Nothobranchius furzeri: one gene and its partners. The protein of the gene in region 2 purifies or fractionates together with the protein of the main gene of each other region. This does not show direct contact. Links are inferred from orthologs where the notes say so. Each region holds a gene or a part of one and is shown on either strand. Other genes may lie near its edges.

The links.
Region 1: the proteins of gars1 (region 2) and glutamine--fructose-6-phosphate aminotransferase [isomerizing] 1 fractionate together in Homo sapiens (co-fractionation; 3 studies listed by BioGRID, with this or other methods). This does not show direct contact. The link is inferred for Nothobranchius furzeri from reciprocal best matches to the Homo sapiens genes GARS1 and GFPT1.
Region 3: the proteins of gars1 (region 2) and iars1 fractionate together in Homo sapiens (co-fractionation; 3 studies listed by BioGRID). This does not show direct contact. The link is inferred for Nothobranchius furzeri from reciprocal best matches to the Homo sapiens genes GARS1 and IARS1.

The regions. Positions count from the first base shown.
Region 1 is NC_091757.1:40,177,771-40,182,057, reverse strand, and holds the start of glutamine--fructose-6-phosphate aminotransferase [isomerizing] 1, read right to left. Parts: upstream 2,864-4,287; 5' UTR 2,777-2,863; coding exon 2,770-2,776; intron 1,152-2,769; coding exon 1,044-1,151; intron 766-1,043; coding exon 658-765; intron 573-657; coding exon 447-572; intron 345-446; coding exon 286-344; intron 201-285; coding exon 66-200; intron 1-65.
Region 2 is NC_091747.1:50,231,897-50,236,175, reverse strand, and holds the start of gars1 (glycine--tRNA ligase), read right to left. Parts: upstream 2,906-4,279; 5' UTR 2,722-2,905; coding exon 2,470-2,721; intron 2,098-2,469; coding exon 1,996-2,097; intron 1,723-1,995; coding exon 1,620-1,722; intron 1,548-1,619; coding exon 1,406-1,547; intron 1,290-1,405; exon of another isoform or gene 1,154-1,289; intron 1,080-1,153; coding exon 991-1,079; intron 592-990; coding exon 515-591; intron 442-514; coding exon 296-441; intron 219-295; coding exon 69-218; intron 1-68. UniProt on the Homo sapiens protein: Catalyzes the ATP-dependent ligation of glycine to the 3'-end of its cognate tRNA, via the formation of an aminoacyl-adenylate intermediate (Gly-AMP).
Region 3 is NC_091743.1:62,688,370-62,691,976, forward strand, and holds part of iars1 (isoleucine--tRNA ligase, cytoplasmic), read left to right. Parts: intron 1-1,129; coding exon 1,130-1,306; intron 1,307-1,570; coding exon 1,571-1,691; intron 1,692-1,826; coding exon 1,827-1,952; intron 1,953-2,114; coding exon 2,115-2,264; intron 2,265-3,377; coding exon 3,378-3,530; intron 3,531-3,607. UniProt on the Homo sapiens protein: Catalyzes the specific attachment of an amino acid to its cognate tRNA in a 2 step reaction: the amino acid (AA) is first activated by ATP to form AA-AMP and then transferred to the acceptor end of the tRNA.

The DNA of each region.
Region 1 (4,287 bases), on a different chromosome or scaffold from region 2:
AGTTAAAACATGTGTTCAGTTGTTATTCGTCAGTAACACACAAACAAAGGTCAAAAGGTTCTTACCAGCTGCTGAGTAACACGCTCAACTAATGTGGCAAAGTTGATGTCATCATTCTCCCGGTTGTCATACATGTACTTCACCAGCTTGGCAATGGTCTCTGTATCCGTCTCAGACTCAAACTCATAGCCTTTGCTCTCCTGAGGAGATGGTAAGTGGGTGAGACTCAACTACCATAAGTGATTAAATTACATACACAACTATAGAAGAAAAACTTTTACCCACCAAGAATTTCCGCAGGTCCTTGTAGTTGGTGATGATTCCATTGTGAATCACAATGAATTCTGTAAGTTTAGAAAGAGAACATTTAACCTTCAGTTACCTCTGACATCTGAGCACAGTTCAAACAAACAATTGTTTGGTTCGGCATCTTTAACACAGCTGACCGTTGTTCTTGTCGGATCTGTGTGGGTGACTGTTGACGGGGCTGGGCTCACCATGGGTCGCCCAGCGAGTGTGAGCGATGCCCAGGTGAACATCAAATTCCACATCCAGGTCAATATCCTGCTGCTCTGAAGGTCGCACAAACACAAAACGAACCACAATTAGATTCCCGGGACTTTCAGAAACAAAGTGTAAGTGTAACCTTCATCTTACTATTGATCTCCTCATCGAGGACCTTCACTTTTCCACGCTGCTTGATCAGTTGGATGGACTTGGCATTTGCTTCCCAATCCTTGCCATTGCCTCCATCGATTCCCACACCTGGACATTTTTTTTAATTAATGTGTGAATATATACTAAACAGTCGACTAGGGTCAACCGTAGAGCTTAGTTTCTTGATGCTGACATATCAAATGAAATTATGACCTGATTTATCATCTCAACTACAACTATTCCAAACATCTTAGCTCATAAAAGTCCTATCACAGGTTCCTGAGCGATAGCGTCCAAATAAATATCTCACAAGAATACAAAATGTACAAAAACCTGATAAAAGAGAAATTAAAACAGGGAGAAGACCCCTCTTGATTCTTTCTCACCAGCTGAGTCGTAGCCTCTGTATTCCAGACGTCGAAGCCCTTTGAGGAGGATCTCAAGGATTTCACGACGAGTCCTTGGAACATGGTAGTTGAGATAGGCAAAGATTCCTGAAAAAAGGCGAAAGTCCCCAAAACTTTATTTCTGTCATTTAATATCATTCTAGAGAAATGAGAGAACAAAAATGACTACCCAAACCATTCTAAATAAATAAAATAACTTAAAATCATAAATAAACACCTAGAATCTCATTGCAGTAAACAAAGTCTAGAGGACAGCTTAAGAGACAAAGTTCATTAACTCTTTACTTTCTTTACTCTGGTTCTACTTGTTTTGTTTTTCATCTAGAAGATCCACATTATGTGGCAGTAATAATAATTTTTAAACACTGTTCTTACAGCTCACTCAATTGTAAACTAGTTTAACCCAACTGCAACGCCGAATATATTAAGGCAGAGACAAAAACTAGGAATACAATTAGAAGGAATCCTTTTGTTGACATGAGAAACTAAAGTTATTTGATGACGCCAGCTCGAGTTGTTTGGGGTTCTGTGTCGCAAAGCTGAAGAGCTGCGTTTGTAGATACCGGTCTTACAAGGAGGATAACCACAATTGCAGACATTGTTATGTCTTGTTAGGAAGAACTTTGAAACAGAACAGAGCATTTAAGGCGGTTCAATGGTCTTAAGACAGAAACCCATCGGACACATTTTAGCTTCACATACACACTTTTTAATATGCAATCACATTTTCTGGATAATTCCTATAAACTTAAACACAATTATGCTACAGTAACAGCTCCAAATACTGTCACAAATCATGATTTGAGCATTTCACTTCCAGCTGCCTTAATCTGCACTTTGTGACATCCAGTGCAAACACTGCAAGCTATGCCACTCTAGTCAAAGGAGGAACCAAGTTTATTACTTGGATCTACTCTGTTGGAGAAATGCAAATGTAAAACCAGCTGACTGAATGAAACAGGGCTTTCATTCAGAACAGCAAGTGGGAGAGGTGGGGGTGACCGAGAAACCGCTGAAGAGAGAGGGGGAAATAAATTACAACTTCTGATGAAGAGATGAGGACAAAGAAGATCAACGTCAGCGAGGAACAAACAGTTTAATATATATGAGAACAGACTGGTTTATCGGGTCTGGTCAGATAGCAATGACAATGATGGTAGACTGACATCAGCTATCGGTCTGACGAGCACAAAGCACAGCATCTACCCAGCGACCATGAGCAAGGCACACGTATTAGAAATAAAGGCGTATTTAAGGGTATTTTTCTATCTGACTTTAGTGACTTTCGGTTACATTTATTTTATATTAAGACACGTAAACACATTTGTTTCAAAAGAAACCCAAAAATCTAAATTAATACTTAACTAACAGAAAGTAACGAGAGGTGGGCGTTTAGCCCTTGCGAGGAAGAACGCTGTATTAACTTTAGTTTCGGTCAGCATGACATGTCACAACTAAAACCCAATACTCACAACCAGAGGGAGTAGCAGAAAATCAAACAGTGAGTGTTTTATATTTAGCTGAGTAGCAGCATCAGAAACATCAGCTCGTGTTTGCTAGTTTCTGCTTAGCCACCCTAGCTAACAACCGTCACACTGAAACTGTAGTCTACACACGCTGTTACAGTTCTGTCTACTGTTCATCATGGCTAATAAGTAATATACATTTTGACTAAATAACAAAAGCGCGCAGAACAACTACTCACCACACATGTCTACAGCTTGAGTAGCAGATACAGTTACTCAGTTTCTGGTGGTATCCGGGGATGCCTGTCAGTAAACCTCGCCCCCTTCTGTGTAGAGCCAACCACCATCTCCAATGGCGCCACCTGATTGGTCGATCGGGATGTCAGTCAAGTTTAATCTTCCTGCGTATGCTCTCCTGACGTGGCATCAGGATGCGAAAGGAGGGCAGAAAACTCGGTATATCCTGCTGATGCCATCCAGCGCACCTTAAGGAGCAGCAGGCAGGCAGCCGTCAAATGTGGAATAATTGTAAACAAATGAGGCATTACGTCAGGGAAACGTACAAATTCACATTTTAACAAAGGCCACGGATTTTTATTTATTTATTTTTTTTAGGTATGACAGTATTCAGGTCCTCCAGCCAGTGGCGGGCATAGAGAAAATTTTGACAGGGTGGCAAAAGAGGGGCTTAACTTTGTCTGAGGGAAGGAAGAGAAAAAATACGTGTGTGTGTGTGTGTGTGTGTGTGTGTGTGTGTGTGTGTGTGTGTGTGTGTGTCAATAAGAGTGTAAGAAGAAGAAAATATCGTTTCTATAGCGCCTCTCAAGATAAAAATCATGAGGCACTTCACAAAAACAAAAAAAAAGTAAAAATATAAAAAAGCATTTAGAAAATGTTTAAAAATATATATTTAAAATGAGCAAAAATAGGCAATTGGGATTTAAGAGAAAAAATGTTAAGAAAGAGAGAGTGAATAGGAAAGAGGGAAGTCAGTGGATCCTGAGGAAGGTGGAATAGGTGGGGAGAGCAGAATAAAGAGAGAGGGGTGAAAAAGGTCATCCAAAAGCCAGCTTGAACAAGTGAGTCTTCAGCTGCTTTTTAAAGGAGACCACTGAGTCCACTGATCTCAGGCTCAGGGGGAGAGAGTTCCAGAGTCTGGGGGCCACAGCAGCAAATGATCTGTCACCTTTGGTCTTTAGCCTGGTGCACTGCACAACCAGTAGGCTTTGGTCACTGGACCTCAGGGACCTGCTGGGGGTGTAGGGACTAAGAAGATCACCAATGTAAGATGGTGCTTGTCTATGTAAGGTCCTATAGACCAGAACCAGGATCTTGAAATGAACCCTGAAGTTGACTGGCAGCCAGTGAAGCTGGAGGAGAAGCGGGGTGATGTGGGTGTATTTGGAGGACTTGGTCAGAAGCCGAGCACAGGCATTCTGAACCACCTGTAGACGGTTCAGGGAGGTTCTGCTCAGACACGTGAAAAGAGAGTTACAGTAGTCTAAGCATGAGGAGATGAAGGAGTGGATAACTGTCTCAAGTTCAGAGCGGGACAGAATGGGGCTCAGCTTAGCAATGATCCTGAGATGGAAGAAGGAAGAGCAAACAAGAGAACTGACATGAGAATGCAAGGTGAGAGCTGGGTCAAAGGTCACGCCAAGATTCCTGACAGAAGGTTTGGTGTGGGAAGCACGCTGACCAAGAGAGTCTGACTTTGGGAACCAGCTTGTCTGGGGCACAGATGAGGATCTCAGTCT
Region 2 (4,279 bases):
AAGAAAAAGGGTTTGTTAAAGAGTTTTGGTTGTTTAACAAGCAGATGAGAGCCAGAGGATTAGCTCACCTGACTCTGATGAGACCAGAGCGAGGGGAGATTTCGTTCCTGAAGGAGTTTCCTATCTGAGCAGCAGCGAAGGGGAGTTTGCCCTGGTTGAACTCCAGGAGACGCTTAAAGTTTAGGAAGATTCCCTGAGCGGTTTCAGGCCTCAGATAGCTGCAAATTCAGACCAGAACCTGCGGTAAAAATCTGCACACGTCACTAAAGCTCCTCCGGTTTGAGCTGGATCATACCCGGGCATGTTTCCTCCCGGGCCGATGGACGTCTGGAACATCAGGTTGAAGGCGATGGGGGGAGAGAGCTCGTTTCCTGTAGTCGGCGACTTCACGTTGTATTTGACAAAGAGGTCCGTCAGCTCTTGTTGGGAGTAGTTATCCAACTGGAAAACAACGAAATATAATGAGAAGGGCGATGACGAATCATATCAGTAGAGATTCTGAGTGAAGACCAACCTGAGTGATGACGTTCTCCATCTCTGACTTCCTGTCTGCGGCGCACTTCTTATCGGACATCAGCTTCTGGAGATGAGCTGCAGCAGAAACCACTCACCGTTATCCCGTTTGGTAAAAACTCTAAAGGACTGAACTGAAGGAATTTTTAGTCTAAATTCAAATCCTCCTTCCAAGATTTCTTCCTAATAAGTTAGTTCTTGTACTAAATTAGACGAATCTGGAATTTTTAAAAAGCTTTCTGAAGTTGTTAAGATCAAAATGTGAAACGTTTTTCGTTCCGATTGTTAATTAAATCATCTTTTGAAGCGACGCAACAGGAACTGACATGTCTCAACATCCAAACAGGCTTTTAGCGCGGGTGGAGTCTCTGTGATCCAGACTGATGTTTCTCATTCTCCCCGAGGCGCATCGCCACGACAGAGTCCCATGCAGATTTAAACCTTTCAAAAAAAAAGAAGAAAGAGACAAATTCTCACCTTTGAGGAGGTGGTCGGCTCTGAAGCATTCACCGTTCTTCACGTCTTTCACCATGTAGTCTGCAAACTTCTCTACGTGTCCTGAAGTCCTGGAGGAGCCAAAGGTGCAACAATCAATCAGCATCAACGAGAGAACAAACAAGGTGATTCTTATGTCTTTAACAAGTGTATCTGCGACCGGGCTATGGAGCGCTGCTATAGAGGCAGCTTCCATGCATAAAATCACAGAAATCAATGTTTGCCTGTTATTAAAAACCTAAAGTTCAGCACTTCAGAGCCGACTCCAGGAACCACCAGGCACTTCCTCCAGCCGTAATGTGGCCTAGCATTCCACAAAAGAATGCCAATTCTCTTTAATTTCCATGTGAGTAATAACTATTCCAACTAAACCACTTTTCTTTAACCAGTCGCCTACTTGAGGACGGATTCAGGGGTCAGCATGGTGCAGTCGATCTCCAGGATTTGCTCCTCCTGGATGAAGTGCTGCCTCCAAGCCTGCAGGATGTTGTTCTTCAGGGCACAGCCAACAGGACCAAAGTCGTACAGGCCACTCACACCTGAGGAGAGTTAATGAATGCATCAGGTGTCAGTTTAATCTCGATTTCTATTATTAGCCACCAGAGCATTACCTCCATAGATAGCAAAGGCCTGGTCATAGAAGAACCGCCTCTTGAGGGTATCCTCCATCTTGGGTCTGTCAACAATGTCATCTTTGGGTTGCAATGCCAGTTCCTGCAAATTGTGCAACACAGAGGTAAAATTATATATGACTGTCCCAAGAATACTAGCCAGGAGGCTGCAGACTCTCAGCTTCACCACTACTTAAGTTGATTTGTTTTGATGTGTGCAACCAATGACAAGCTCTTTAAATACTAATATACATGTCAGTTTGTGATATTACCATTTGATCAGTGCCAAATTTGTGTCATCTCTGCATGGATGAACGTGTGGGACTGGCATCCCTCTCAGATGAAATCATAACAAATGAAACTATGAATTTCTTACCTTGGCTTCTAGAGCTTTCTTCCTTGCTTTCAGTTCAGCTACAGCTTTAGTCACATCCACTTCAGGAGCTCCTTCCTGTTTCATTTGGCGCACCAGCTCTCCCTAAACCAGAAGAAAACATTGCAAACCACTGCGCCAAAAATAACTGAGCCAACGCCTGGACGTGTTTGGGAAGCAAAAAGATTGATGATTGTTTTTGGTAGCAGCACAAAATAAACCTCCTTTAAAAAAAATATAAAACAACCCCACCCTGCTATCATCAGCCTGCAGAGCAGCTCTGAAACGTGGCACATGAATATCACCTAGCGGTTAGCTCCTGTAGCGACTCCAGTCTGCTCTCATTCATTGACAGGCTGGGGTTAGCCGGCTAGGCTAGCCGGTTAGCTTAACCACTTCAGACCGTTTCTCACTTAAGTTACCTCACTACTTTAAAAAAAATATACTAGTTTTAAAGTGGCAGAAAGCAAATATTACCTGTTCTTTCACAGCAAGCCTCAAAGGGGCGAGAATCTCCTCAATGTTTCCGTCCATGGTCTTTTCTTCCGCAAGCTGCAGCCACAGGCTCTTTTTCTTTTTCTTAAGCAGGCAGACCGAGGTGGAAAAGGGCCTTCTACCGAGCGGCTGGCGATGGGACAGCCGACACAAACGGACCGTTACCGGCCGACAGGAGAAGGAAATCTCAGCGCTGGTCCTCAGCAGTGATAACGCTGCGCTGCGGAGAAGCATGGACCGCTGTAACGCGACCTCCAGAGAATGATGAAATCTCACGAAACAAGTAAATACTGCCGTCGTTCCGGCTCAGCACTTTCGTTACGTCTCACGCGTTCTTCACGTGTAATTGGCTGATTCGCTAAAAATAAAATTAAAATAAATAAAAATTAAATAAATGTTTTTGGAGACTTTACTCAATGCAGGGATTCTTAAAAGACGAAATATTTTCTTTTAAAGAGAAAATTTAATCACCTATGAAAAAAGTCTCAAAAAATCACCAACTCTCTTTTGAACTCAAATATGAAATAAATAATTCAAATGTTCCACATAAATGCCAAATTCTTGATATTGTTGAATAAATTTCAAAATAATTCACCAAAATTTCAACTGTAAAAATGTGACCTTTCAAAAGTTTTATTTTTCCCCCACAAGAGGGCACTAGAAATGCCCCAAAGTAAATTATACATTTACTTTATGCAAAAAGTGAGTCAAAGGGCATTTTCTTCCCCTTTAATTTGAAGCTGGGAAACAGAGAACTAGTCACTTTTTAAAATATAACAAACAATAAATTGTATGGTACAGTTCGTTGTATTGGCTGGCTTCATGATAAAACCACTGGTCCCTCCAACCACCACCACCAAGTGTCTTGCCCAAGGACACAACAGCAGCTGTCTGAATCAATCATACACCCTTCTAGTTGCTGGACAACCTGCTGACAACCATGCATGGTCTCACAGCTTGCAGAAGAAGATTCAGCATGCAGAGATTTTTTAAATCCCGGTTATAGTCATGCCTTCATGAAACATTTAATCCGATGGATGCACAACAGACCTACTTGAGATACATACAGATGAGATACATCATCTGTGTCCTATCAGACCTGACATCCAGACCATATTCATTTTAAATATTCATGAATGGAGATGTGCAGCTGTAGGGCATCACAGCTCAGAGATTCCCACAGATTCAGAGAGATGTCAACTGCGTTTGAACTCCATGATCAAAGAAATATAGCTTCAAGGGCTGCCATCTTTAAAAAAAAGTCTTGGAGTGAGATTTTCTTTCATTTTACTTTGTGTGTGTGTGTGTGTGTGTGTGTGTGTGTGTGTGTGTGTGTGTGTGTGTGTGTGTGTGTGTGTGTGTGTGTGTGTGTGTGTGTGTGTGTGTGTGTGACTGTTAGGTTTGGCAAAATGACACACTAGTCTGGCAGTGAGAAAAAACAATGTGATATTAAGGCAGAATTAATTTTTCAGAGGAAAAATGGATGCTGCAATCACTGTTTGCTACAATGTAAATTAAATTATGGGCAAAGCAAATAAAAGAAAATGATAAAATGTGGAAAAAAAAGCTATACATTTTCATGTGCTTAAATTGTAAATGTATTTTCACAGGAGAAGAGTCACGTCACATTGTCTTTTACAATAGTACTGTTGGCCAATCCTCACAGGAAATATATTCTGCTAATATTCTTTTCTGTCACTGAACACATTTGCTGTATTTGTTTTTTCTTTGTAGAGTTTATACATTTGTTGTGAAATATGAACGCATCAATGCTGTCCATCAGTCAAATCAA
Region 3 (3,607 bases), on a different chromosome or scaffold from region 2:
TTCTACCTTCTTTTACTCCCTCCCTTCCTTATTATGTCTTATTCTATTGTCAGGGCGGTTTTGAAATCTTTCCACTACAGCGTCACAGTTAGAGGTTTCTCCATCATAAGGCAGACTTAATAGAAGCTTAATTACAGTCTGGCCCCTTTCAGATTCTGATGTTGGAGCTTTGAAGGAAACTGGGGAGCAAAGACGGATTAGCCAGCAGCCTCTTGTTTTCACAAGAAACAAACAGTTTGTTTCCGTCCCCCTATAGCAGCGCTGTGCTCTGGCGTCCAGCCAGGCTAAATTCCTCCAGTTATTTCAAACTGAGATCTATGACGAATTTTCCACCCCGTGGATGGGAAATGATTTAAAAAAAAAAAAACTTGTGCACATGTTCAATAGTAGCTTGTCGATTGTGATGCGATAAATCTAAAAACTGGCCAAAGTCCTCCCTCAGCCACTTGAGAAATATTAATTAAACTTTTCTATAGACTAAGAGCTGGACACACACATATACACACACCATCAGAACGAGGACCTTGACTCGTAGAAGCCTATAAAACTTTCCTCCATTGATTGACTGCTCTTTTATATCTAGCTTTTCCCATTCTTCTGCCCTTGAGGTGTGTGTGCACTGCAGAGGGAGTGTGTGTATGGCCATGCACAGATGTGCACAGCTGCACACTGTAGATTAGAATGAGATCAATGGGTTTGGATGCAGCAAGGTTAGTGGGAGCAAGCAGCAAGCGATGCCAAAATAGATGGGCTTTGTTCCAGCTAAACATCCCATCATCCTCTTCTGTCTTTATTTGTTACTATACTGTCTGTTTTCTGCGTTTTATTACCAAAATGCCTTTTCTGGTTAGTCTTTCCAGTAGTTTTTTTTTTTTACCCTTGTCTTTTCTTCTTTTTGGGAGCTGTACTCCCTTTTTCTATTACTAATGAAAACAATGGTCAAAAAGCAACTTGTTGCTAAAAAGTGATTTGTTGCATCTTCTGGAGTTTGATACCATGGCTTGAAATATTAGTTATGCAGCATTTTGTTGTACCGTTACTTTGTCTCACAGCATCACAGGAATGAACAGAATCTTTTTAGTTTTCTTTCTTTATTTTCGTGCATAAAAAATATCTTTTTGATTATCAGGGACATTTGGTGCCGTCTGATGAAATAACCGTGTACTACCGCTGCCGACCAGAGGGGGAATACTTGGCATCTGTGATCCAGGCTCACACCGACTTTATTCTGGCCACCACCAAGGCTCCACTTCTGCTCTTCCCTGTTCCCGATACTGCCAGCGTCATCATAGAGGAAACGACTCCGGTATGAGACGATGCCTTCAGGAGAAGTGGGATTTGTTTGTCATGGTGTGATTCATACTCACGAACATGCAGGCTGTTGTTTCTTCATGAAACATGCTGATGCCGATCAATGTATGAAATCACAAGTATGAGTCACACTTAACACATGATTACTCTCATATTGGTATTAATACCTTGCATCTATAAATGTAGTACTCGTCACCTCATTCCTTCTTTTCAGACTATGTTTTTATTCATTTGAGCTTTTGTTTGGTTGTATTTGTAGTTGAAGGGCTCAGACTTGGAGTTGACCATAGTAAAAGGATCTTCATCTCCTCGAGCAATACTAAACGGACCAGCCTGCACATATGTCAACCTCAGAGTGAAGGTCAACCACAAAGAACAAGGTAACACAAAGTCTTACTGTAACCATGTTTTGGTTGTCTGTGACTGCACACACACATAGCACAAATTTGGTGCTATGCAAGCAAAATATGTATCTTTGATGATCCTGTTTGTATTTGTGTGTATTTTCTCCTCAGAGGGTGTTGTGCTGTTGGAGAACCCCAGAGGGGATAACAGACTTGACTGGAACAAACTGAAGAATGCCTGCAGGAACATTTTTGGAACCAACAACACCTCACTGAGATTCTTCAGTGGTGGAACCGGTATGTGATGTTTTCTAAAACAATAAATTGTGTGTGCTAATTATCTCCCACCATGGCATGTTAAAACTGACCAGTATTATAAATGAACAAAAACGGAATTTTGTTTTCTTCTATTTTTCTAAAAACTATTTGCTCACATGTTCTTTTGTGTGTTTTTTACAGAATTGTCCAACGAAACTGATCTGCAAGCCCTGAGTGGCAAAACTTTGTTGGTGGTGTCAGACCCCTCCTCTCTGGGCTCTGCCCCCCCTGCTGCTGACACCCTACTGTGCCCCTATGTTAACCTGTTGCTGTGCGACGCACAGCCAGCTGGTGAGAAACACCTACAACACACACACACACACACACACACACACACACACACACACACACACACACACACACACACGTTCCCCTTATTCAAGAGGAAGGGTGGACATGTGTTTAGTCATTACAATCAATGTTTCCTAAAAGTGTTATTATAATCAGGAACTGTTGCAGAGGTTTTATTCTACTTTAAGGCTTTCGCTGCTTAACAGCTGATCATTTGTTTTTGATTGTTCTCAGTCTGAGTCCAAGTCTAATATACATTCTCATTTTCTGGAAGTCAGTTTTTCATATTTGAGATGGGGGCAATGTTTTATTTTATCCCTTGAAGAAGGCTTTTGAATTCTGTGGGAGAAATTGTTGACAACTTTAATTCCTGCGCAGGTTTTGCTTTTACTCACTCCTTTTCCCAGAGATTAAAGGCCAACTTTACGGGAAAAAAAACACGTATTAGTTATTTCTGATTATAAAGTTTTTCATGCAGGCTAAACATAAAAATAGTCTCCTGCACCTATCTCCTGCATTAGCTTCTCATAGAAAATAGACAGAAAAATGCTCAGTTCAGAAAAACCTGACAGATCTACGTCGCACTGTCACTTAACATTCATGGACTCACCCATCTTGACTCGTGACATGAAAGGCTGTTGTTGGTTTAACGTCCATGAAGCAGCAGAGAATGTCTCGACTAGTAGAAGCTAACTGTTAGCATTAGCAACTCCACCACTCAGCAGAACTCCTGCAGACTTGTGCGATTTATGAAGATAAAACATTAACGTTGCACAGCAAACCGAGTCTGTGGTAGAGTTGCATTGCTGTTAGCCAATCAGAGGTGAGATGTCCAAATATCGGGAAATAAGACTCCAAATCTTATCATCTGAAGCTACTTCTGGCTCCAGCTGCCTTCTACCTCCTCAGACAGGTGCACCAGAGTGTGCCCCCCCCCCCCCCCCCCCCCCACACACACACAGTATGACTTAAGAGGCATTCATTCCTACTAAAGACCACTGCAGAAGTATTGAAAATATGAGTAAAGTTGACCTTTAAGTTTAGGATTAGTAAAATTCTTCATTCAGATCAAATCCTATTTTGGAAATTTCTAATATCCTGTGTTTTCTTCAGAGTGCCAGGCTGGAGATGTTGGTACCCTCCTGTTGGTGAACCCGATGGGTCAGAATGCGCTTGATTACTCTGGTCTGCTCTCTGAGACAGCTAAAGTTTTCGGCCTTCGCAGTAGGCGGCTTAAACTCTACCTAGACCAGGACCAAAGTCATGGTAACACATTTTAACTAAAATAAGTGGGTTATTATCTCTGAACTCTAATGGATGGCATGAAATAATTAAAGGTGCAG